4 linked regions of the Saccharomyces cerevisiae S288C genome follow. Changing the gene in region 4 together with the main gene of any one other region gives a genetic interaction. Each region holds a gene or a part of one and is shown on either strand. Other genes may lie near its edges. The genes, in order: USV1, SYH1, PTC4 and YAL064W.

What was found.
Region 1: mutations in YAL064W (region 4) and USV1 together harm fitness more than expected from each alone (negative genetic interaction), as found in Saccharomyces cerevisiae (one large-scale study listed by BioGRID).
Region 2: mutations in YAL064W (region 4) and SYH1 together harm fitness more than expected from each alone (negative genetic interaction), as found in Saccharomyces cerevisiae (one large-scale study listed by BioGRID).
Region 3: mutations in YAL064W (region 4) and PTC4 together harm fitness more than expected from each alone (negative genetic interaction), as found in Saccharomyces cerevisiae (one large-scale study listed by BioGRID).

Annotation. Positions count from the first base shown.
Region 1 is NC_001148.4:111,380-120,120, reverse strand, and holds USV1 (Usv1p), read right to left. Parts: upstream 4,810-8,741; coding exon 3,634-4,809; downstream 1-3,633. Other genes in the region: CET1 (polynucleotide 5'-phosphatase), read right to left, coding at 90-1,739; YPL229W (uncharacterized protein), read right to left, coding at 2,434-3,054; trifunctional fatty acid synthase subunit FAS2, read right to left, coding at 5,806-8,741. UniProt on the Saccharomyces cerevisiae protein: Transcription factor that participates in the transcriptional activation of glucose-repressed genes during exponential growth in non-fermentable carbon conditions. Also involved in salt-stress response.
Region 2 is NC_001148.4:352,334-357,027, reverse strand, and holds SYH1 (Syh1p), read left to right. Parts: upstream 1-1,615; coding exon 1,616-4,165; downstream 4,166-4,694. Other genes in the region: aspartate--tRNA ligase MSD1, read right to left, coding at 1-1,328.
Region 3 is NC_001134.8:486,699-490,259, reverse strand, and holds PTC4 (type 2C protein phosphatase PTC4), read left to right. Parts: upstream 1-1,879; coding exon 1,880-3,061; downstream 3,062-3,561. Other genes in the region: alpha,alpha-trehalose-phosphate synthase (UDP-forming) TPS1, read left to right, coding at 1-1,355.
Region 4 is NC_001133.9:17,554-25,281, forward strand, and holds YAL064W (uncharacterized protein), read left to right. Parts: upstream 1-4,012; coding exon 4,013-4,297; downstream 4,298-7,728. Other genes in the region: YAL063C-A (uncharacterized protein), read right to left, coding at 4,842-5,132; flocculin FLO9, read right to left, coding at 6,447-7,728.

The sequences.
Region 1 (8,741 bases), on a different chromosome or scaffold from region 4:
ACATAAGCTTTCATAACAGCATTTGAGTAAACAAAAAAAATTTCTCGCTCAAGGGCATTTGCTTATTTTTTTTTGAAATGATTCAAATATTACATGACTTTCTTTGAACCTTCAAAAATTTCATATGATAAAGACGATAACTTTCTTCTAATAATTGTACCATTATTCAGAAACGTTCTAATAAGAGATGCATATTCTTTACTATCGTTCGTTATGTTATCAAAGGCGTTTAACAGTGCAGGCGTGTTGATTTCTAGTTCCACTTCGTGAGTGGTCTCTGATTGTCTACTTTTTGAATTTTGGTTATGATTTTCGACTTTTGTAATATCAATTCTGGTACAGGAATCATTATGAATGTAACTAACACGGTCTTTCGTCCTTTCACTAATTGGGCTTTGAGATTTATATTTTTCTGGCGGATCGTTGTCAGGTACAGGTAATTCCAAGTTTAGGGAGATTTTAACGTCGTAACTATCTTTTGGTGAATATAATAGTAGTTGGGCTACATGTCTTTTCTCTATAAATTGTCCTACCCTCCCAGTCTTAATATCTGTACTCATTCTCAAAAACCTTGGTCTTTGCGTGGATAGTCCGACTCTATAGACGGAATCTCTTGTCTGGGATTCAATAATACTGAATTTACCTGTATTTTCAGTGACTTCGCTAATACCACGAATATATTTGCTCAACTCTTTGAACAAAGATGCATCAATATTAGGCGTTAGATGGGCATCAAGCTCAGTGAAAACACATTGTGAAGAAACTGGTGGATTTACACGATCTGGGCCTTTCGCATCAATAATAACACCAAATTTCATTTCTAACTCAATGAAGGATCTTAGTTCAGGAGCAATTGAGTATATTGTAGCATAAACCCAGTCCTGTACTGACTTTGTTAAGTCATCATCGGGAATAATGTTTAAAAAAGATGGGTCAATTTTGAGATCTTTCACATTTATACTTTGAAGAGCTTTGATAGTAGGTTTCCATTTTTGTGCCCAAATTGGAACATTCCTGTACTTACTGGGCTTGGAAGACGCAGATATTTCATTCAGAACCTCCAAATCTCTCTTGATATTATTCTTTTTTGATTGTAAAGTAGCTTTCTCTTCAAAAATATTATCTACAGCTGCATTCGCTTCTTCTTCCTTCTTGACCACGCTTCCTACTGCATTTCCCGCTATCTTCTTCTCAGTTTGCTTCTGCTTTTGCAGAGGTACTTGGGTTATATAGTTGCTGGCAATGTTCCCTTCATTACCTTGTTTCGGTATTCTCTGTTCTTCATCACTCTTGCTATTCTGATGAATTGAATCATCAGAAGGCTTTTCTAACTTCGCATTGGCATCACTACCATCATTCATAGGAGGTGATCCGTTGGATAGTAAATTTCTATGTTGTTTATCATAGTCAAAGTCCATTTCTGAATCAAAATTAATTTCTCCACTTGCACCCATTTCGTCATCCGTATCGGTTTCTTCATCATCATTAGATGACTTGCGTGATTTAGGTTTTTGTGAGTGCGAGCCATGACCAGTACTCTCCTTGTAATTGTCAATCGGAGCAGCTTGGCCCGTTTCCGTTTGATTTATATCAGATTCTAAATTTTCGGCAAAAGGTCTGCTGCCATTAGCCGCCTCACTTAATTTTTGTAATTTAACCTTTTCATTTTCATCGTGATTCACCAGATCGTCTAACGATAAAGCTCTTTTTGTTTGAGGAGGGTTGTCAGTGTAACTCATAGTGGGAGGATAGAAATGCTACCAACAATTCAAGGTTTTTTAAAAAAAGAAGTGCTATTCCAGATTCAATTTATAAGGGATATTTTGGAAATATCAGTATAGTATTCCCAGCAGATCTTTCAGTGTCGAATACGCTTTTAATTATCACTCTTATTTGTGTGAACCTATATTATAGATTCATTAGAGGACTTTTCCTTTATTACCATAACTTACGACGAAACTAACTAAAATGTAGGTCTATATATCATTTGTAACGGCACGTTGGGTAATCATGACTGGTACATGTTATATGTTATCTACGCAGGTCCTGTTTCTGGCATTATGTATGGCTTGACTTTAGGAGTTCCAGTAAAACAAGGTTCAAGATTTATTATATCACCATACTTGTAGCCTCCAGGATTATTATGAAACAGAAAAATGGCATGTATTTTTGAAAGAATATGGTTATATGAGTATTTAGTGCTTAGTACATACGTCTTGCGTCTGTTTGCAGATAAAACCCTTCTCCTTTTATCTACATATACTAATTGAATAGTGAACTACATGAATAGAAGAAACCGATAATTAAAAATAAGTAGGAAATGAAACGGCTTGACATAATATAACATAACGTAACATAACATGGACACAAGATTTGTTCAAATGAGGAATATGCAAAAAAGAAATCAAAACAACGTGTTTGTCCATATCGCGATCATTCTTGAACACTTTCCAAAGGATTAAAACTTTGAGATGTATAAGGATTGAACTTCGGCCTAGAGTTGAATATAGAAGAAGCAGAATTTGGAGGTGAAGAAGACATAGAACCAGGATTAGAACTGGATTGCGTGTTCTGATGATACAATGACATTTGTTCAGCGGTCAGCCTATCCATTTTCTCGCATGCTTGTTGTTCTTCGAGAGAAAGTAAAGATCTTGGACAGAAAAATAAGTCATCTTTGAAAGATTTGCAGATGTTGTTCTTGTATATTATGGAGGAGTGGTCTATATCTGGGACAACATAATGCTGAGACGATCTGCTAAAGAGTAAAGGAGGGATAGTACTAGTGTTGGCATTCTTGTTAAGGTTTGAGTTTTCGCTGGTACCGGCCCCTACTAAAAACAAAGGCGGGCTTATTGGTTGTTGCTGTTGCGGCTGCTGTAACGATGACGCAGTGCGATTTTGTTGCTGCTGTTGCTGCTGCTGTTGCTGCTGCTGAAGACGATCATATTTGAAATTCTGGAAACTGAGCGCATCTGGAATAATACCAAAGGGGTTGCTGCTTGCGAAGTTCATAGGTTCTTGGATATTTGGAGGGGTGTTGTAGGGCATCATTTCATGTAATATAAAAAAGTGGTTATATGTGATAGTTTATCTGCTAAAATCGGAAAAAGCGTCATCTTGTCAGTGAAATGAGATAAAAAGCTTCTTTCTTTTCTTTTTCTTATTATTGCAATTAACGGGGGTCCGGGTGAGCGTAAGGGCGAGATAACCATGGCGGTATAGGTGTATATGATCAAGTTTTGAAGTCAAGATGCAGGATTGTTCGTTCCGTATTCACAATCCACCGTTAGTGTTACATCGTAGTTTTTGATGCTACTGTGGGCTGTGTAAAGCAGACGCGGGAGTTTAAAATTAAGTTTTGCGGTTATTTCTCGTTGATCAACGCAAGAGGTCAGAAAGCCCTTTATGCAAGGGATTTTTTCTTGCAATTGCATCTTATCATTTTTGTAGCACTGATTATACATAGCTTGACTCATTTGAAAAATTTTATAAACTGCATTTAGTATGGAACAAAACATAAAAATAAAAAAAGATGCGCACCATAATTTGTTTGCGCATATTAAGAATTATATTAGTTGTAAGATATTTATACTCTACGGAATATTTGAAACTTAGATCAGATTGCCTCGATCAAGTCAATATGTAATCAACACTAAGCCTTTTCTTATTGGTGTTGACCGAAATATCAGACTCTGATAAAGTTTCCGACCTCTTTTTGTTATTATTATCATTGCGATCATCAGTATTCTTGAAATTTTCTCCCCCTTTGCCGCCATTCTTCGAGGAAGACATATTATTGTTTTTATTTCCATTTGGTGGTTGGCTAAATGCCTGCTGATACTGTGGTAAAATAATTGGTTTTGCTTCAGCAACTGTCGTTGACGGAGAAAACGGCGGGGAGAATGAATCAAGATGGTTATTGATATTACTAGTATTGACATTGATATTGCTTGGTCTAATATTGTATTTGTTCATAGTTGTCCGTGCTTGAAAGTCGGCAGAATCTTTATATTTGAAGGAAGTACTTGGCATGGACCTCGGAGGAAAGGACGATATGATTACCTCAGAGGCCGGATGGCTCGTTGAGGAGGGGCTCACATTCAAAGGATACTGCACATCTACTGATGGTAAATAATTGATGGTGTTATTATTACTGGGAAGAGGATACTGGTAGTAACTATCAGTGATTGGATGGGAAGGAAAATAATAGGGAGCCTGTTGATGCTGTTGTTGTTGGTGTTGTTGCTGTCGTTGGGTATTATAAATGGACCTTGGAGAGATGGGTGGGATGCTTCTCGTGCTAGTAATGAACTCCGGCGAAGAATGTATTATTTGGGGCGCTTTTTCGTTTTCTGCCATCATCGGCATGTTCCCGCTATTAATATTAGTTTTCCTGTAAGGATCACTATATGATGTAGATGATGAAGCAGAAGACGAAGAAGATGCAGAAGAAGAGGAGGATAAAGATGAAGAGGAAGGCTTACGCTGGTGCGAGCTGGTAGAATGGTGGTTTTTATGTGCATGGACCGATTCCCGATGCTGTTTCAAATTATCAACTCTACTGAAGAATTTCAAACATGCAGGACACTGGAACGGCTTTTCACCAGTGTGCTTTCTTATATGACGTGCAAGATGTTCCGCTCTAGTGAAGGACATCGTACAACCGTCATATCCGGTGCATTTGAACGTTTTCCTTCGAGCACTTTTGGACCTCTTCGGAGTTGATGCCGCTACACTATTGGTGGCAAAGTTACCATTGCTGCTCGTAAGAACGCCTGCAGTATTACGATTCGTGGTATTTTCCATTTCGTGTTTTTTTCTTATCTTATCACAGTATTATTTATGTGTTAGTAAAAAAAGCTAAGCCAGTAAGTCGCTCCAGATTTTTTCTTTACATACATGGTTAATGAAGCTGTTGCAAAATACTGCAGCCAAGAACTCCTGTCTCTTTCAAAACAAGACGAAACTTTATCTGCCGGGATGAATAAGAATTAATCAAAATTATAGGCAATAAGAGTGGATTGAGATTGTTATATACGGAAGACTGTTGAACGGTTAAGGGGGAAGCCGTGAAGGAGCAAACAAATCTTGAAAAAGAAAACATTTTCTAAAAAAAAATAGAGGGGATAAATAAGGCCCTTAGGGGGACTCAACGGCGGAGAATTCGAAAGCCAAAGGATGCTTCCCACCGCTAAGCCAGGGCGAACGGCAGCGGCGATCGAGGATGCTGGTTCTTTAAGGGCACTCGTCCACCTTCGCGATTTTTCTCTTCCCTGAGTATTTGGCAGAGGCGATCAAGGGGTGGCTCACACAACCAGTCGCAGGAGCGTCGCGCATCGGGTATTAGACCCTATTCTGTACACCACAGCCTTCCAGCCCCTTGCCCCACGCGATTGGTGTAAACAATAGATGGCAGTAATCGTTGAGACAACATAACTACCGGCCGTCCCTGACCCTTTCCCCTCCTCACGGTAGAGACAACAACCACGGGAGGAATAAAAACCGGTGCTGGGCCAGCCGATATCGTAAAAGCCTAATTACCCCAGAGCTGCTACGCGGACTTCTATTCTTCCACGCGTCAATATGCCCCCGCGCGAATTTGTGTGGGCCGACCAAATAGAAGAATTGAACGGTGTGTACGCTCAGGGCCATATGATTATAGACGTACACAATGATTAGGCCAGATCGAAATCAGAGGCTAAAGTAAGGAAACGATAGAAAAATAACAAAGTAATTACTATTATGTCTGATAAATAGAAGCGACACGTTACATATTAAAAGAGGGACTACGTAGTGCTCTCTCTATTTCTTAGTAGAAACGGCGACCGCGACAGCTTGGAGGTCATCGTGAGAAATAGATACCTTCACATCGGTAACACCAGCTTCTTCGGCAGCCTTTTTGGCGTTACCGTGCAGTTCAACGGCTGGAGCGTTTTTGTTAACGCGTACGATTTCGATGTCTTTCAATGCAGCACCACCGCCTAAGGACTTGACGCCTAAGGACTTGAAAACAGCCTCTTTGGCGGACCATGTCCCAGCGAAAGAGCTTTGCACACTAGGCTGCGCGCTGCAGTACTCTATTTCTTGCGGGGTGAAATTGCGCTCGATAAAAGTATCATTTTCAACGTTGATGCTAGTGATTAATTCAACATCTACACCGACGCCACCGTTAGAGACTTTCTCCTTGGTCATGTTTTCAATCATCTTGGCAGTTTCAATGGTGTTAGCATTGATGTAACTGTCCTTGCTTTGGATGTTTTTAGAGTTGAAAGTCAAGGAGCCTGATTTCTTATCCTTAGATACACGGGCTAATGGGTCCAAGTAAACATCCTCTTCCAATTCATCAGTGTATGGAGCATGCTCTTTACTTACGAACAACTTGTTGTAGATCATACCATTATGGAAGAATTTGTAGGCACTTTTCTCTCTGGCACTAACCTTGGCGACATACTCGTTGTATCTGTCTTCAGTGATAGCACCGTATAAGTAGTCTGGATGAACCACAATAGCTTGACCACCCTTTTGACCAAAACCGAAAGAAGTGATGGACACGGCTCTGACACCGTCGGTCTTTAAAGTCTTGGATGGGTACAAGACGTATTCAAATTGCTCCAAGATCTTATCCACGTTATCAGCGTTACGGTTACCTGGAATAATACCACTGTTTAGAATTTGCAAAGCACCATTCATCATCCATGCACCAGCAGCACCCTTTGGATGACCAGTCAAGAACTTTTGGAAAACACCAATGACGGGATTACCTTCAGATCTACCCAAATGCTTCATCATTTCATTAATTGTGGCAGATTCGTTCTTGTCATTAGCCTTTGTGGATGTACCGTGGAATGAAGCGACACCCAAGTCATCAATAGTTAAACCGTAAGTAGCCAGTGCTCCTCTCAATGGAGCAATACGTGGGTCCCTCTTGTAGAAGTCGTTACCCCATTGTTGTTGTGCAGCTCTCAATTGACTTTCAGCTTCGTTGTGGATTTCTCTGGTACGTTCAAGTAAGAACTCGTTTTGGTCTTCGCTTGGAATTTCTTCGGCCTCCAACTTCAAAGCTTCCAATTCGTTTTCTACCCAATCTTTAATCTGAGCTTCACGAGTAACCAATTGGCGCTTTCTGTACTTCATGTTCAAGTTTGGTGAAGCATACTTAACACTGGAGTGGTGTTCACGAGCAGTGGTTAAAATACCCTTACCTGGAGCTGGCACAGATCTACCAATCTTATCGGTGGCGGTAGCAGCCATGGCAACAATACCGTAAATTGGCACACCCATCTTCAAAGCTAAATCAGCTTGCATGATGATTTGAATACCAGCACCTTGAGCTTCCATAAAACCGTTACGGGTAGTGGTGGCAGGTCTGGACATTTCCGCTGGGGTACGACCATGTTCAAATTCTTCCAAAGTGTTGGAAGTGGCCTTCATGTTACCGAACTCAAAGGAGCCTTCTTCTTGGAAATCATCGTAACCACCGACAATACAGATTCTAGCCTTACCAGACAAGATGGTTTCTACACCAATGTCAACAGATTCCACGGATGTGGCACAGGCACCAACAGGTGTCTTGATTGGACCAGATGAGGAAATCAACAACATATTAACCCAAGCGGACATGGTGTTGATAAATGATTCTTGTAAAATATCATTTTGGACAGGCTCATCCTTGAAACGGTCCTTAAACATACCACGTAAGGCAGAAACACCACCCATACCAGAACCAGAACAGTTACCAACCTCAGAAACATGTACGTATTTGTACATTTCGTATGGGTCGGTGATACCAGATGCAATAAATGCTTCCACAACAGAGACCAAAACGAATAATGTGATTGGGTCAACCTGAGAAATGATATCATCAGAGATACCATAAGTCTTAGCATTCCAACCAGTTGGAATTTGACCTGCAACCAAACGGTCAAATCTCAAAGCCTTTGGAATGTATAAAGTGGCACCCTTTAGTAACTTAACAGAGTACTCTCCTGTTTCTGGGATTTCGAAGATATCCACTTTGTCACCATGTTGGTGTTTAAATTGTTCGGCAGTTTCCTTCGAAGCCTCAAATGGTTCCAAGTCTTCTTCGACAATGACTTCTTGAATCATTTCCTTCTTTTCTGGGTTGTAACCATTGAATAACTCTGGTTCGATCAATCTGATACCACTGTGTTCTAGGATTGATGTTTCATACTTGGCCTTAACGTCCTTGTCATCAACTGGTTCTTTTGTTTTGGAATCAACCCAACCAGTGTATGGACGACCCTTCAAATTACCGTTATGGTATGAAATGAAGCCCATAATCCAGGCCATTTCAACGCAACCTTCCAACGAAAATTCACCAAAAGCTTCCATTTCCCATCTTGTTCTGGCCGAACCCCATGGGCCGACTTCAGCAAAACCGGTAACTACAATAACTCTTTCCAAATCCAACAAACCTTCAAGCTCAGCGGGAGCAATTTGTTTAACCTGTTTGTATGGTTTCAATTCTGGGAAGTCCAGTTGAATGTTAGCTCTTGGTTGAATTTCGACTTGAGCATATGCAGCATCAGCGCTATTGCCATTGACAACCTTATGCTCCAAAGCAGTTTCGATGGAAACTGCCTTTCTAACTTCAGAAGTTTCAACCAACTCTTTACGCAATTTAGCAGTGAATTCCTTCAATTCAGGAACAAATTGCAAACCACCATTCAAGTCAGCCATAACAGGTGATTTTTGGCACAATTCTACGACTTCTGGAG
Region 2 (4,694 bases), on a different chromosome or scaffold from region 4:
CTCGTACAACCGCATACAATGTCACCTTTTTTCAGTTTCAGAAATTTGGTTATTAGATGTGGGTTTTCAAACGTGGCAATTGCATGAAAATTCTCAAACCAATTTGAATTAGCTTGTTCGTCATTTTCAATTGGTAGCACTATTGGAACTCTATAATTGTAATTACTGTTATTTGTCAGAAACGACCATCGTTCTTTGTACTCTTCCATATTTGAAAAGGCACTTCTTAGAATAATTACTTCAAAAACGGGAAATTTTTTGTTCAAATGACTAAAGGCATTGAACTCGCCTAAATTGATAATCTTCAAATCTGGCGCTCTCAAATCTGGCTTGTCAATACCATATGAGGTCATGGCTTGTTCGTAGGTCATACGAAAGATAGATACTGTGCCGTTTTCCTTTTTCGCAGGCACTAATGTACCCTTACTGTCTAAAGTCAATAATCCTCGTTTTTTGGAAAATTTACTCCATACCCCAGAAACTGTCTTTTCTATGATTTTCATGACATCTTCAGAATTAGCAAAGGCCATTTCCATATCAACCTGTGTAAACTCAGGCTGCCTGTCTGCTCTTAAATCTTCATCTCTAAAGCACCTTGCCATTTGATAATATTTGTTGACACCACTAGCCATTAAGAGTTGCTTGTATTGTTGAGGGCTCTGATCTAGAGCATAAAACGATGGTTTACCATCGGATCTCTTTGTCCTTGTTGGAACCAGAAACTCTCTTGCGCCTTCTGGGGTAGCTTTAAATAACATTGGGGTCTCGACCTCCGTAAAATCAAAATTGTTGAAGGAGTTTCTTATTTCCTTAGAGATAGATGACCTCTTCTTTAAAAAATCTTGATATTTGGGATTTCTCAATTGCAAATAGCGGAACTCAGGTGGGTATATGGCTGACAATTTAAAATCCTGCATTTGCGCTGGTTTTTTATTAGATGCATTTAACACAGTAATATCCTCCAATTGCACTTCGTACTCATCTGCGTCCTCATTTGATAGCTTCCTCTTCAAAGAGAGTATACCTACGGCTTGAACCACATCCTCTAAAGTAAAGCCTTTCAACAACGATTTGTTATCAACCAACTGGATAATGTCACCGTTAGAGTCCCTTAAAAGTCCGAAGATCAAATTTTTCCCAACTCTTTTTGGCTTCTGCTCTATCCATCCATTGAGTACTATTTTCTGGCCGCTAGACAGTCCTTTTAACTGTTTGATGGTCGAGGTGTCCTTCCTAAAGAGAAATTTTTTCTTAATAGCATTGGCTTCTGGAAAGTCTGCCAACCGTCTAGTGATTGTCTGCAAGCACACCCTGGAACGGGCCAACATGATTAAAACTTGTAATGTTTAGTCTTTTCAAAAAAGCATGCACTCAACTGAATCAAAATGTTAAGAAAACATGAATAATGAATAAATGAGGCATTCAATGCCATCTATTACTTCCTACTCCCATTTTCACCTTATTATTGTACTTTGGTACGGCAGTAGCTTTCTGAAATTTCATCTACCAAACTTTGCAAGCACGAAAAAGAAAGCAAAACATTTCATTTACCATGGACGCATGGAGAAGGTCGATTTTGCCACAGCTTGCACAAGATTGGCAGTGGCAGTAAGTGATGAATCCTATCAACTCTCTAGCGTTTGACCTTCACAGTGTTAAACTTGCAGACGCGAACTCAGACACTGCTGCATTATCAAATAGCAATACTCCAACCATGAACAATGCGGCTCTTTTGCAAAGGCCCTCCTCCATTATGGATTCTATTGGCGTCCAAAGAGTTCCATCTCCTTTTGTGCCAGGGAGTAATGCGATTAGTGGAGCCAGTACTGTTCCCTTCAATGCATATGACGCTGAAATTACTGGATCTCCGCTACAAATATCTGCTAATCAGGAAAACAATAGTGCATTTAGTGCAGCATCATCCAACCTGCATATGAACGCCAGCAGCCCTTCCGTTCTCAATAAACCCTCGAGCACATTTCCAAATGTAGCTCCTTATCTCTACAACGCAACAGGGCCTGCCCCCAACGTTGGTAATCAACCCCCACCACCGGGGATAGAATCTCAGTGGAAATACATTGACTCTAATGGTAACATTCAGGGGCCTTTTGGTACCAATAATATGTCACAGTGGTATCAAGGAGGTTATTTTACTCCAACTTTGCAAATCTGTAGATTAGCAACATCTCCTGAGCCATTTGGTGTAAATGATCGGTTTATTAGACTAGGTGAATTGACTACTCTGGTGAATAATTATCAAGACCCTTTTGTCGCCTTTGATTTCATTGTTATTAGAGCTTTGAATGCTGTTCCACTTGTTGCACCAACTTCATCAGAAAAGCAAAAAGTTGAGTCAAGAGATTTGATACCTGTTGCTGATGTGCATAGTGATGATTTTACGTATGAAGAAATCCTTGGCCTTAAATTTGAAGATGGAAGTTACTATCATGAAACTCAGGTTTGGGTTCCGGTTGACGGCCGTCATATCACAAAGGTAGATCGCATACCAAAGATATCTGCATATACCGCTCCTCTATCCACGACTTCTAGTAGATCTAATAAAACCACTTCTTCCCATGAAGAGAAGGTTCCTTCCCACGAGGAAGCTTCTCCAGAGGAGCAAGAGGTTTTTTCAGAAGAGGGCAGAACTGTTTCTAACATAACAAATGAAGAGGAATCTATTGTCAAAAATCCTACTAAGCAGGAGGAAGAATCTCGAGGAAGCGAGAAAGAGCAAAATATATTGGATCAAGTTCAACCAGAGATTGAAGAGGTAGACCGTAAGGATGTAATATCCACTGCTGATGAGCCGAAAAGCAAAGATACGCCGCAAATGACTTCTGAAGAGCAGAAAAGGTTTGCAAAGGCAGAACTGATGGCACAAAAATTATTGGAAGAACAACAAAGACAAGAAGAAGAAAAAAAGAGAAGAGAAGAACAGCGCAAATTAAAGAAGGAGAAAAAATTGAAGCAAAAGCAGAAAAAGGAAGAAGAGAAGTTAAAAAAGAAGAAGAAGGAAGAAGGAAAATTAGAGAAAGAAAAGCAAAAAGAATTGCTAAATAACATTTTAACTGGAGATACAGAAACTCCATCTTCCGAAAACACCGCAACTTCCATAACCACTAATTTGGCGCCTTGGGCTAACAAGAAACCCGAGGGTGCTGTTTATAATCAGATTTCATCTGCTCTTGAAGATTTGAAGAAGGAGAACTCGTCCAAGAAAGAAAAAAAACCTAATCGTACTCAGTTAGATCGTGAGCAGGCATTAAAACTACAGAAAGAAATATTAAGCTCGGCGCAAATTCCGAAAACTCAAACTGGTTCTGCCTGGGGTATAAAGCCACAGCAACCGATCAAAGTTGATATTAAAGGAGAATTGATGAAAGACAGTACCAAAATTAACAGTCAGTCTAAAATTAACAAGGCCAACAATGGTGATATTAAACCAGATTCCACTTTTATTGAAGAGCAGAAAAAGCTGTGGGAACAAGTTCAAAAGAAAACAAAGAAATTCAACCGCGCTTCTTCACTCGATGATTTCATTTCAAGAACGCCTTCCCCATCTTCTTCGGCATTGAACTCTTCGAATACTAGCAATGCGTGGACCACGGTTTCTTCTAAGAGCACAACCCACATCGCTTCCACCATGCCTGTCGCTGGTAACCAGTCAAAGTCATATATCAGTTTGGACACACTGCGTTCTTCTGGGGGGTTATCTACCGCAACAAAAACTAAAATGAGCGATAAGAGTAAACAAATTGGCTCATCCACTAGTATCCCGACTTTAAAGGCCCGTCAAGTTAAACCGTCTCGCATCCCTGCCTATCCCGGTAACGCTTCTGTCTCTAAGCGTCAAGAATTTTTGAGATGGTGCCGATCCCAATTAAAACTAAATACGGGTGTTCAGCCCGATAATGTTTTAGAAATGCTACTTAGCTTGCCCCCAGGTTCAGAATCCAAGGAAATTATCGCAGATACCATATATTCCTACAGTTCAACAATGGACGGTAGGAGATTTGCCACTGATTTCATCAAAAAACGTCTAGAATGCGAAGAAGAAATTAATGACCCCTTGAGCTGGAGTGAAGTATTAGCTATGCCTGAAGGCAGTTCCGAAGACTGGGAATTTCAAGTTGTTGGTAAAAAGAAAGGAAAAAGATTTTGAAGCCTTTTTGTTCCATAGTAGTTGTTTACTACGCGTGTATATCTTCTATTCAATGTATTAACTAGTATAACTCCCATCTATTTGTATAATTAATTGAAATTAAATATCTTGATAACTAATAACAGTACTAAGAACGCTACAATAATATGTTAGCGTGTGCAAACTACCTATAGCTAGTATATCGATTAAATGTTTGAAGCCACATGAATTGAGAAAGGTAAGCACATTTTTCAAATTGCAGAACGTATCATTTAGCGAATCTATCGTCTGTTTGAAGGTTCTTAATGGAGATGAGAAGTGTTTAAGTTGGTTGAGCGCATAATCATTTGTTACGTGTATTTCTTTTCTTTTTTTCTTTTTTTTTTTCGAAGGCAATGAAAAAAGAAATTTAACGAAGATGATTCTAGAAGATTCCTTTTCCAAAGAGCACTACTTGTCAATATAACCTTAGTGATAAAAGTTACTGTCCATTTTAAACTCCCTCTGTCTTGATTTTTCTTCTTATAACTCAGTTAGTTCTGATTCTTAT
Region 3 (3,561 bases), on a different chromosome or scaffold from region 4:
GAGGGCTGGTCACGGCGTTGGAAGGGTTGAAGAAGACGTACACTTTCAAGTGGTTCGGATGGCCTGGGCTAGAGATTCCTGACGATGAGAAGGATCAGGTGAGGAAGGACTTGCTGGAAAAGTTTAATGCCGTACCCATCTTCCTGAGCGATGAAATCGCAGACTTACACTACAACGGGTTCAGTAATTCTATTCTATGGCCGTTATTCCATTACCATCCTGGTGAGATCAATTTCGACGAGAATGCGTGGTTGGCATACAACGAGGCAAACCAGACGTTCACCAACGAGATTGCTAAGACTATGAACCATAACGATTTAATCTGGGTGCATGATTACCATTTGATGTTGGTTCCGGAAATGTTGAGAGTCAAGATTCACGAGAAGCAACTGCAAAACGTTAAGGTCGGGTGGTTCCTGCACACACCATTCCCTTCGAGTGAAATTTACAGAATCTTACCTGTCAGACAAGAGATTTTGAAGGGTGTTTTGAGTTGTGATTTAGTCGGGTTCCACACATACGATTATGCAAGACATTTCTTGTCTTCCGTGCAAAGAGTGCTTAACGTGAACACATTGCCTAATGGGGTGGAATACCAGGGCAGATTCGTTAACGTAGGGGCCTTCCCTATCGGTATCGACGTGGACAAGTTCACCGATGGGTTGAAAAAGGAATCCGTACAAAAGAGAATCCAACAATTGAAGGAAACTTTCAAGGGCTGCAAGATCATAGTTGGTGTCGACAGGCTGGATTACATCAAAGGTGTGCCTCAGAAGTTGCACGCCATGGAAGTGTTTCTGAACGAGCATCCAGAATGGAGGGGCAAGGTTGTTCTGGTACAGGTTGCAGTGCCAAGTCGTGGAGATGTGGAAGAGTACCAATATTTAAGATCTGTGGTCAATGAGTTGGTCGGTAGAATCAACGGTCAGTTCGGTACTGTGGAATTCGTCCCCATCCATTTCATGCACAAGTCTATACCATTTGAAGAGCTGATTTCGTTATATGCTGTGAGCGATGTTTGTTTGGTCTCGTCCACCCGTGATGGTATGAACTTGGTTTCCTACGAATATATTGCTTGCCAAGAAGAAAAGAAAGGTTCCTTAATCCTGAGTGAGTTCACAGGTGCCGCACAATCCTTGAATGGTGCTATTATTGTAAATCCTTGGAACACCGATGATCTTTCTGATGCCATCAACGAGGCCTTGACTTTGCCCGATGTAAAGAAAGAAGTTAACTGGGAAAAACTTTACAAATACATCTCTAAATACACTTCTGCCTTCTGGGGTGAAAATTTCGTCCATGAATTATACAGTACATCATCAAGCTCAACAAGCTCCTCTGCCACCAAAAACTGATGAACCCGATGCAAATGAGACGATCGTCTATTCCTGGTCCGGTTTTCTCTGCCCTCTCTTCTATTCACTTTTTTTATACTTTATATAAAATTATATAAATGACATAACTGAAACGCCACACGTCCTCTCCTATTCGTTAACGCCTGTCTGTAGCGCTGTTACTGAAGCTGCGCAAGTAGTTTTTTCACCGTATAGGCCCTCTTTTTCTCTCTCTTTCTTTCTCTCCCGCGCTGATCTCTTCTTCGAAACATCATGAATAAAAAGAAAAAGGAAATCAAGAAAAAAAAGCCATAATTTATCCCACATTTTTTTTTATTGTCGCTGTTCACACCGCATAACGAAGATATTGGCTACATAAACAATTGACATTGGATCTCTAGTTTTACGTTGTTTTCAACTGCATCTTTTTCTTCTTTCTTAGCACGGAGCCCTTACGTCTTCTTTTCTATCCCATCGCCCTTTTTGCCTCTATTCTCCCCTATATAGCCATTTTAGAAAGTAACTTCAATTTGAAGAAGACAAAAATGGGTCAATTGCTTTCCCATCCGTTGACGGAGAAGACCATAGAATATAATGAATATAAAAACAACCAGGCGTCAACTGGTATTGTTCCACGATTTTACAATTGTGTGGGGTCCATGCAAGGCTATCGTTTGACTCAGGAAGATGCACATCTAATTAGAAATGAAAACTCTGTTGTGTACGTACGATTTTTCAACCCATTCATAGACAAATACGAAACCCTGTCATTGAACGTCTTCGCAGTATTCGATGGTCATGGTGGAGATGATTGTTCGAAATTTCTAAGCGGCGGCCGCCACCATCGCGATGGTAACGGCAGTAGCAACGGTAATGGTGAACCCAACGCTGGCCTGATCAAATGGATTGCGTATAGTTTCGAAAACCACCATTACACATCTACAACTAATAACGACTCATCAAAATTTAAAAGATCCTTCAATACGTTGGAAGGACTTGTTTCTCAAATTTTTAAAGACGCTTTCATATTGCAAGATGAAGAGTTATATCGACATTTTGCCAACAGTTCGTGTGGATCTACAGCAGTAGTAGCATGCATCATAAACGAGGAATCACTGTATGTGGCTAACTGTGGTGATTCGCGATGTATTCTTTCCTCCAAATCGAATGGCATAAAGACGATGTCTTTCGATCATAAGCCACAACACATAGGAGAATTGATACGTATAAACGATAATGGTGGTACTGTCTCTCTTGGAAGAGTGGGTGGAGTACTGGCTCTCAGTAGGGCATTTAGTGATTTCCAATTCAAGAGAGGTGTCACTTATCCACATAGAAGGACAAAACTAACAAATATTACCCAGAATTTAACTTATGGAACCCCACCACAAGAAGCACAAGTTACCGTTGAACCAGACGTATTGATGCACAAGATTGACTATTCTAAAGATGAGTTTTTAGTACTGGCTTGCGACGGTATATGGGATATTTATAACAACAAACAGTTAATTCACTTTATAAAGTATCACCTGGTATCAGGGACGAAGTTGGATACAATAATAACAAAATTGTTGGACCACGGGATAGCGCAGGCAAATAGCAATACTGGTGTCGGCTTTGACAATATGACTGCCATCATTGTAGTGCTAAACCGGAAAGGCGAAACATTGCAAGACTGGTTTAATAAAATGAAGACCCGTTTGGAAAGAGAAAGGGGCCTAGTGTAAGGAAAAAAAATTATTTTTCTTCTTCCTTTTTCTCATACATATCTGAACGTGTGGTTAATGTGTCTGTGTATTAGTGTATAGGATCAACTGCTTGGGAGATGAAATAACAAAAGTACCTTAAAACGACCTCATTATCACATTTTTTTTTTTACTTTATTATTTTATTGTGCTTTTTAGTGTTGTAGAAAACCAAAGCAATCCTTTTAAATGAATTTTTATATACATACGTGTATATGAATATGAATATGAGTTTACCCCATCTTTAAGCTCTGCTGTGTTTTGGAAATAAATTCACATATTCATGTTTAGTTTTCCTTTTACATAATTTGGTCTTAGTACAGAGAAGTCCTCTTCTTCGCTTCTTCGCTTTTGGTCTTTCTGAAAAAGATCGATAAATAACATCCTAAAGACAGGAACTGAAAGACAACACAGAAAAGGTATACCAAGGGAAAAACATAATTAATCTCTATAGCTTTCAAGAGCGAAAATATCTTCCAAAT
Region 4 (7,728 bases):
CACGTCCTTGGTTTTTACCGAGTACATATATTTGATGAATTCTGATTTGAAAATATCAATTTGTTCCTCTAGAATATTTCCACTCGCACATTCAAAAGCAGGTATTGGAACGCACAAGAAGCGATCGTCACCTTCCATTGGGGTTAGTAGCAGGATATATATTTCCATTCTATATTCCAGGTTCTCTTTCACAATTTTATTGAATGAAATACCTGAGCTACCAAATCAGTCTTAATAACACCATCTTTTACACCGGTACTACAACAAACCATACTGAGTCTGAAATTGGACTTCTGCAATGAAAAATTTAAGCCCTGATCTACGCATAATGCCCGCTATAAACCTTATTTTTTATATGGGGGTCTGGCGCTTCGGGAAAAGAGAGGAAAACTTGTAACTCAATATATCTCGATACAACATTACGTTTTGTAAATTTATCACAAAAGCCAAATGATGATATCTCTCTTGCAAGTTATCGAACATTGATTGGTAATTTGTTTGAAAATTGTTAATTTATTGAATATTTCTTTTGCAAAAGAAATAGTCTCAGCGAAAGCTGGTTACAAAATTTACATCATGAGTTTACGGGATTTGTAAATACGCTTTTTGCATAAAAATACTTTGCCGTTTCCCACCCTTGCATATTCACTTACTCCCCCCTTCATATACTCTATGTAATGATGATTAAGCTTTGGCCGCTAAGTCTCTCAATTAGTGTTGATTTTGGTTTTATTCATATGATTCTTCTTTAGTGAAGTATTGATCAATTACGTGAGTCAGCTTTTTGAAAACCCCATTTGGAAGGAATTAGGAAATTATTTTGCTTACTACGACCACTAATTTACCGCCATTTCTGGGCCTTTTTATTGACTATTTTGACCATGTGCTCGACTAGAAGAACGGCATCATAATCTGCTGGTAGAGTTAGTCTATAATGATTGTTGAAAATAAAGGCATAAGAGATATTCCACCTAAAATTCAAGTTATTGACTTTATTATCAGGATCTTAGTATCCTTTTTTGGTAAGTCATATTCAATGAACTAGGTCTCGCAAACTTTTTGTTCGAAAAGCGGTAGTGCATAGTTATGCTAACTCTGGATATATGGCATAAACCGTACAACACTAGCCCATTTTTTTGGAAGTAGTGAGGGCAGCTAGACTGTATGATGAATATTCGCCTGCATACTGAGTTTTTTGGTCCTTTTTTTTATGTGGCTGGCCTTACGATATGATGCACAATTCATAATTTGGAAGAAGGGCAGAACAATTGCATCTGTGCTTGGCTCTCAAGAACGGTGTTTGGTGCATCAAAAGTTTTCGACTGCTTATTTGGTCGGAAATATAAAAACTCGATCCTCTTATCTAAGCAGTATACATTCTTCTTTTTGAAATGAATGTACTCCGTAATATCTTCTTATTTGGCATTTTCATCCTTAACTTTTGCATGGCTCTGAACTAGTCAGATAGTTGCCCTTTTCAGCAAACCTCTTATTATTGAAAGCATGGTGTACATCCGTTATACTATTATATTATAAGAAATTGGGATGCCAATTTTTTTGCTTTTGTTTTGCCTGTTTTCCTTCTTTTCGCAAAAGTAATTGCAGATTTAATAGCAGGATATTATACCGTTGGTAAAACTTAAGGATTTTATGAACAATAGCTTCAAGTACAGCATTCATAGAACCAACTACTAAGGATGAAACTAGTATGTTTTTGTCAAAATATTTTCTTGACCTTGCTGTAACATCAAGATCTGTTTCTCTAAGATATTAAAGTTGAGTAAAAACAAAGCTGATATGAGAAAAATACGTAATTGCTCCACATAATACGTGGGTCAGACATAAAGGTAGAATACTTGATACAGAAGAGATTATTCGGTACTCTTGATGGCGTGCTTGAACTGGTGCCTCTTAACAACCGGTAATATAGTCAGATGAGTCACTACGAGTGTGTGTAGTAGCAAGTGTTTTACCTACGTGGCAGTAAGAGTAGCTCTATGGTTGTGTAATAGTGGTGCTTATTCCTAATGCTCTGAAGTCTGAAGCGGTACAGTTGGTCTGGTCTATATCATGGTCAAAGGAGCAAACATATCTTCTGAAGTGACCGCAAATAGTACTATGATGTGGTTGGCAATATAACTTAAAAGGAAATAACCACAAGGAATTGCACCCATGTACACAGTTTTTCCCGGAAATTGGGAAACCAGTACGAACATATATCAATTACTTTTACATTATCTTGATTGGAAAACTGGCACAATTGACTGTGACGTTAGTAGTATGTTGTTCTTCTCTACATCAGTTAAATATACGTGTCAACATCAACTAATCAACTTTCCCCCGTTTACCACATTGAAGCTGGGTGTGGAAGATTTATTTGAAGAAACTAAAACGTACCCTGTCATTTCCTGAGTCCCCTTTCAACTTAGTGTGAAAGCCGAACAATTATAATCCTCGGTAGACAACAGATTTATTGTACTAAAGTTACTCTTCCTGTTATCTTCCTTGATTTTACTGTTATAGCAATGACCCACCGCAATCAGGAGAGCCGCCGTATGGAATAGCATACCAAGTCATAAAATCGTCAACCTATTAACGGGGTTCAGGTTCTTTTTCAGCGTAGTAGCCCTTTAACAAGCGCTGACAAAGTTGACACTCAGAGAAAATTCAGGATTTATTGTAATCCAGCTACTCATCCTTAGATCCGCTTGCAGGCATGGTTTTTTTCACCTTGAGAGGCTATTTTGGGTAAGCCAGGAAGGCTGAAAAATCCCAAAAGGACACAGTAATAAGAAATTGTTGTTGTTGTATGATGCATTTAGAACTCAAAAGACGAGTTTCTGAAAATGCTTACAATACTCCATAGGTAACATGATTTTTTTATTAAAAAAGTATACTGTTCCTTTGGGTAAAAATTATGCAACCCTTGAGTGTCCGATGAAGATAAGACTACGAAACAATTTGCGGTAAATTTTTTCTGCTATTGACATTTACACATGCTCCAATCCATTACCCTTTCCATTCTCGTAATAAAACCTCGAACTGTTATTTCATATTTACATCTAGACGGGTATCGGCCTCAACAACTCCAAACAAAAGTAAATAGAAAAGAGCCAGACCTATCGCACCGGGTAGAGCCAGAAAATATTTTAAACTATAGTTGACGTATTCTACGGCTGTTGTTTAGGACAATACTTTTTCCTTCACAGGCTTCGAATTACGCACATGCAGAACTCCTGTAGAAACCACGAAGAAAAGTTTAATTAACTTTCAAATGCCAGAACTAAAGATTGATGAAACAGTTATACGAATTTAAGGGGAACTTGCTTTTTCCTTTTGCTTCATCATAAGCGCAATATTCGCAGCGGTGGCGTCGCGTCTTACCATTTATCGGCACATTTTTCCGAAAAGGAAGGAAAATGGCGGTGTCAAACGGTCTGGTGTGACATCTAGAAGTTCGGCATTGCAAGTTAATCTACGGGAAAAAGAAAATTTTCTTATAACCCTAATGTATAATAAGGTTTTCGGAGAAAGCAACTCACGGGGAACAATTGGTTAGAAGAGACCGTAGAAGCGCCCCACTAACCTGGAGTTGATTATCGAGGATCTTTCTCAGAAAAGCAGCTAATAAATGAGCACAGTACTCAAAAATTACTCATAGTATTATAATTACTTACTTAGTCAATATGGCTGCGCTTTTAAAATGAGTATCTTTTATTTTTTGACAAGGAAGAAAAAGATGCAAGCAAAGAGAAATTTACTAAGTACAAGCTCATTTCCAAAAATTCAGTTTGCCTGTAACAATGGGTAGCGATCTTCAACATATGGGATTATGCCTTGAATGAGATTTTTGAACGTAGAGGAAAAAATCGCAGACAGGCTTTATTGTGCTGTTTGACATAGTATACTCAGCCGTTGTGGTGTTAATGAATACTATCGATGTGTATACAAACGTACTTCAAATAAGCAATGCGAATATACTGCAACTTTTCGGCCTTTGCAACGATTTGTAATGAATCCTTTTGCATCGCTAGAAGGACAAGATAATATTTCTTCTGTTTTTTTTTTACATATGCAACAATTTGAAAGTCAGGTCAAAGACAGATTCCGGTTCCCCATATTCAGATTGGAGAGAAAAACTTTTGGCAACTCATGTTACCAAGTCGAGACGCTTAAAGTTAAGTGTCGGCCAAGACACGCAAAATCTTGTAATCTTTTAACGCTGCTCTTCAAATCACGGACGCAATCAGTACTTGTACCTAATTTTGGTTTTCTAATATTGAATAGCGAACCATAGGTCGAAAATTTAAGGCCACATAAATCCAGAGCCCGCAACTTGGATAGGTATTTACTTGATTTTTAGTTTGCTTTCAATAGTGTCGTGAAATTATAAAGTACGCCGCATATATATCTTGATTAGTTAAAAATAGCAGTGTTCAATGATGATTTGATAGGGTTCATAACTGGTACCAGCGTAGTACAATTACGATTATCCATGAACATAAAAGTGGTTTAAGTACTATATATCAGTGAAGCTTCAAAGTAAGCAAACGAGATACCAAGATCTTGTAGGACCACGATATATAAGAAGCCTAGTTCCGTTGTAGCATCACATAGAAGAGAGCGACAATGCCTCAGAAATTCTACAGCAACAGAAAGCACAGTGAGTCATTAACTGTTGGAATAAGACTCAACTGCGAGCTATCGACTAGTACTTATATTACTAGTATATTATATACGGTGTGAAAAGACGACATGAAGATTGAGGAAATGGTCCCAAGATCTAATGGACACTGAAATGCAAAAGTTGATAATGTAACATGAAAATTAAGGACAGCATATTAAACAGAAGAGGAAATAATGGTATTTTTACATAGAGATATGAATTTCCCTTTTTCTTTGTTCCTATATCTCTGATAATAAGTTATAATATACTTTGTGCATCTTATATCATGCCTTTTCAACAATGAAATATCAGCAGTTATCAAAGCATTCGCCAAATTTTTATTAATAAAACAAATGTCAGAAATATGGCCGGAATCTAATCTGAAAGTTAAAATAATTCTTACGATATTCTTATCATAAAACCAATGATTAATGTTTATGATGAGCAAAACTGTGCGAGGGCACATACATACAGTGGGACCTCATGAGATCCAGAAAAAAAGCAAAGGAAAGTTCGATCGAAACATTAGCTCTTAGATATTACAGACGTGAGGTATCTCTTCCTTGAAGAGAATCTGGCCCTGATCAAAAACTTTATTTTGATACTGTTCGAAAAGAGAAATAAGGACAACGTTCTAATTTATACAAATATAACCAGTAGGCTTTATCGTAAAATCCTCGAACTTGCTTCTCATCACAGAAGTATAAAAAGTAAAGAGGTCAAGCAAGAAACGAATAACCACCAAATTTTTTTCAATTGAAAAGCGAAACGTAATGGAAATTCACCTGCTTTGAATCGTTGTTGAATTCTTATCATCAGTCATTATTTTCCTCTTTTAAAGCTTAAGTCAACCGCATCTAAGTTTAACACTTCGTTCCCGTTTTGAAGTTTATCAAAATTCCAAAATACAGTAGTTAGGTGCTCGTGACAAACCTTTTTCCAAAGTGTCATTAGACTTCATGGAACTACTACACTTCTGGGGAACGAAAAGCTACCATTTGCTCATCATTGGATAATTTCTTTTTTTTTTTTTGATGCATCCAAACTTGGACCCCTTTTGAATGTCGAGTATGAAGTATCAATTTTAGGGCAAGTAGTTTTACAATAATTTTGGTGCACTTTTACGTCTCTGCTGATATTTTTAATACTAGTGCAAAAGAATTCGAAATAAATATAAAAGAACAAGGAGGATTAACATACTTTAAATAACTAATTATCACCATTATTTCAAGTTTCAAGTACTGCGTATGGCATGCACAGCAGATTTCTACTCAAAAACATCCTAAGCGAACCACACTAGATCTTACGTTAGTACTGCTGAAAATGGCAATAATTGTTAAAGCAAAAATTGGCGATGGTTCATTAATTGCTAAACAAAATAGGGCATTTTTCCTCGTTAATGATAAGTACTCATACTTCTGTTTCTATAAGTGTTAGTTGTAACTTATGAAATATCGATTTAAATTCGAAGTGTTGTTTGCAGGATATAAATCAAAAAAAAAAAAAAAAAAAAAAAATTAAATAAATAAATAAAATAAATACAATGATATCGATAACGGTGAAATTCTTTTCATGGATTTTTGTTGCCCAAGAAAATAACAATAACGTTTTCTTTATGATACATATATCTACTTTTTCAAAAAAGGAAGCGCAAGAATTATCATTTAGTTCAATTTGAATATTTGAAAGTTTGGAGGAGAAACAGTTAAAAAATAATTCATGTCAGCGTATATTTAGCAAAGAAAAGATACACAGATACGTAAAAAGAACGCGAATTTTATTAAATAATTGCCAGCAATAAGGACGCAATGAAGACACTTAAACCACTACCGGCCAGTAAGCTGTTGGCACTGCCAGCATACGTTGAAATTTCTAAAGAAGCTGTACTAGATCCTACCATGCTACTTGCTGGTGTGCTACGAGGCTGTTGCGACATAGTACTCAACCCGGAACTTGTTAGACTCTTGGTGTTGCCAGTTTCGGATACAGAAACAACACTACTGCTGTGACCAATCACATCGGTCGCGGAAGCCGTCTGTGTTTCAGCATGATTGAATCTTGAAATTGAAGAGGTGACTACTGTTTTCGTCTCAGCAGCTCCAGTACTGGTAGTTGTCTCAGCAGCTCCAGTATTGGTTGTTGTCTCACTGGTAGCACTGTTCATTTTAGAGCTGACAGACTGTTCATTCGTAGTCTGTGGCCTCCATGTAGAATAGACCGTAACAACATCATTCACAGTAGCCGTGGCCGTCGAAACAATGGCAGGTGAAGTAGTTTCGGAACACACACCAGATCCGCAGGAAGTAACAGTAACTAGCGTAGTTTGTTGCTTCGATTCTGTGGTGGAAATAGGACACCATGTTGTGTATTCTGTGGTAACGCCATTAATAGTAGCAGTGCTTGTAGATACAATGGCTGGAGAAGCAGTCTTAGAGCATACGTCAGATTCACAAGAAGAAATTGTAACTACTGTGGTTTGTTTTGTTGTTTCTGTGGTTTGCTCTGTTGTCCCCTTGGTTTGCTTTGTTGTCTCCGTAGTTTGCTTTGTTATCTCTGTGGTAGAAATAGGGCACCATGTGGTATACTCTGTTGTGGCACCGCTAACAGTAACGGTGGCCGTGGAAACAATCGCAGAGGAGATAGATTCAGTGCACACATGAGATTCGCAGGATGTCACGGTAACCAAAGTGGTTTGTTCGCTCGTTTTTGTAGTGGTAACAGGTGGTAATGAAGAAGTAATTTCCTGACTTGTTGTTGCACTGGTAACAGGTGGTAATGATGAAGACGAATATGTAGACTTTGGTGATTCAGAAGAGATAGAAGAGGAAGAAGAGGCAGAACTAGCTGAACCCGTTTCGCTCTCAGAAGAACCAGAGGTGGAACTACTGGTTGGAATGACGGATGATTTAGATGATTCAGAGAGTATAGAAGCGGAGGTTGTTGTAGAAGAAATGACAGGGGAAGAAATGAATGAAGAAGAAATGACTGGAGAAGAAGTGACTAGAGAAGAAGTGACTGAGGAAGAAATGACTAGAGAAGAAGTGTCTGAGGAAGAAATTACT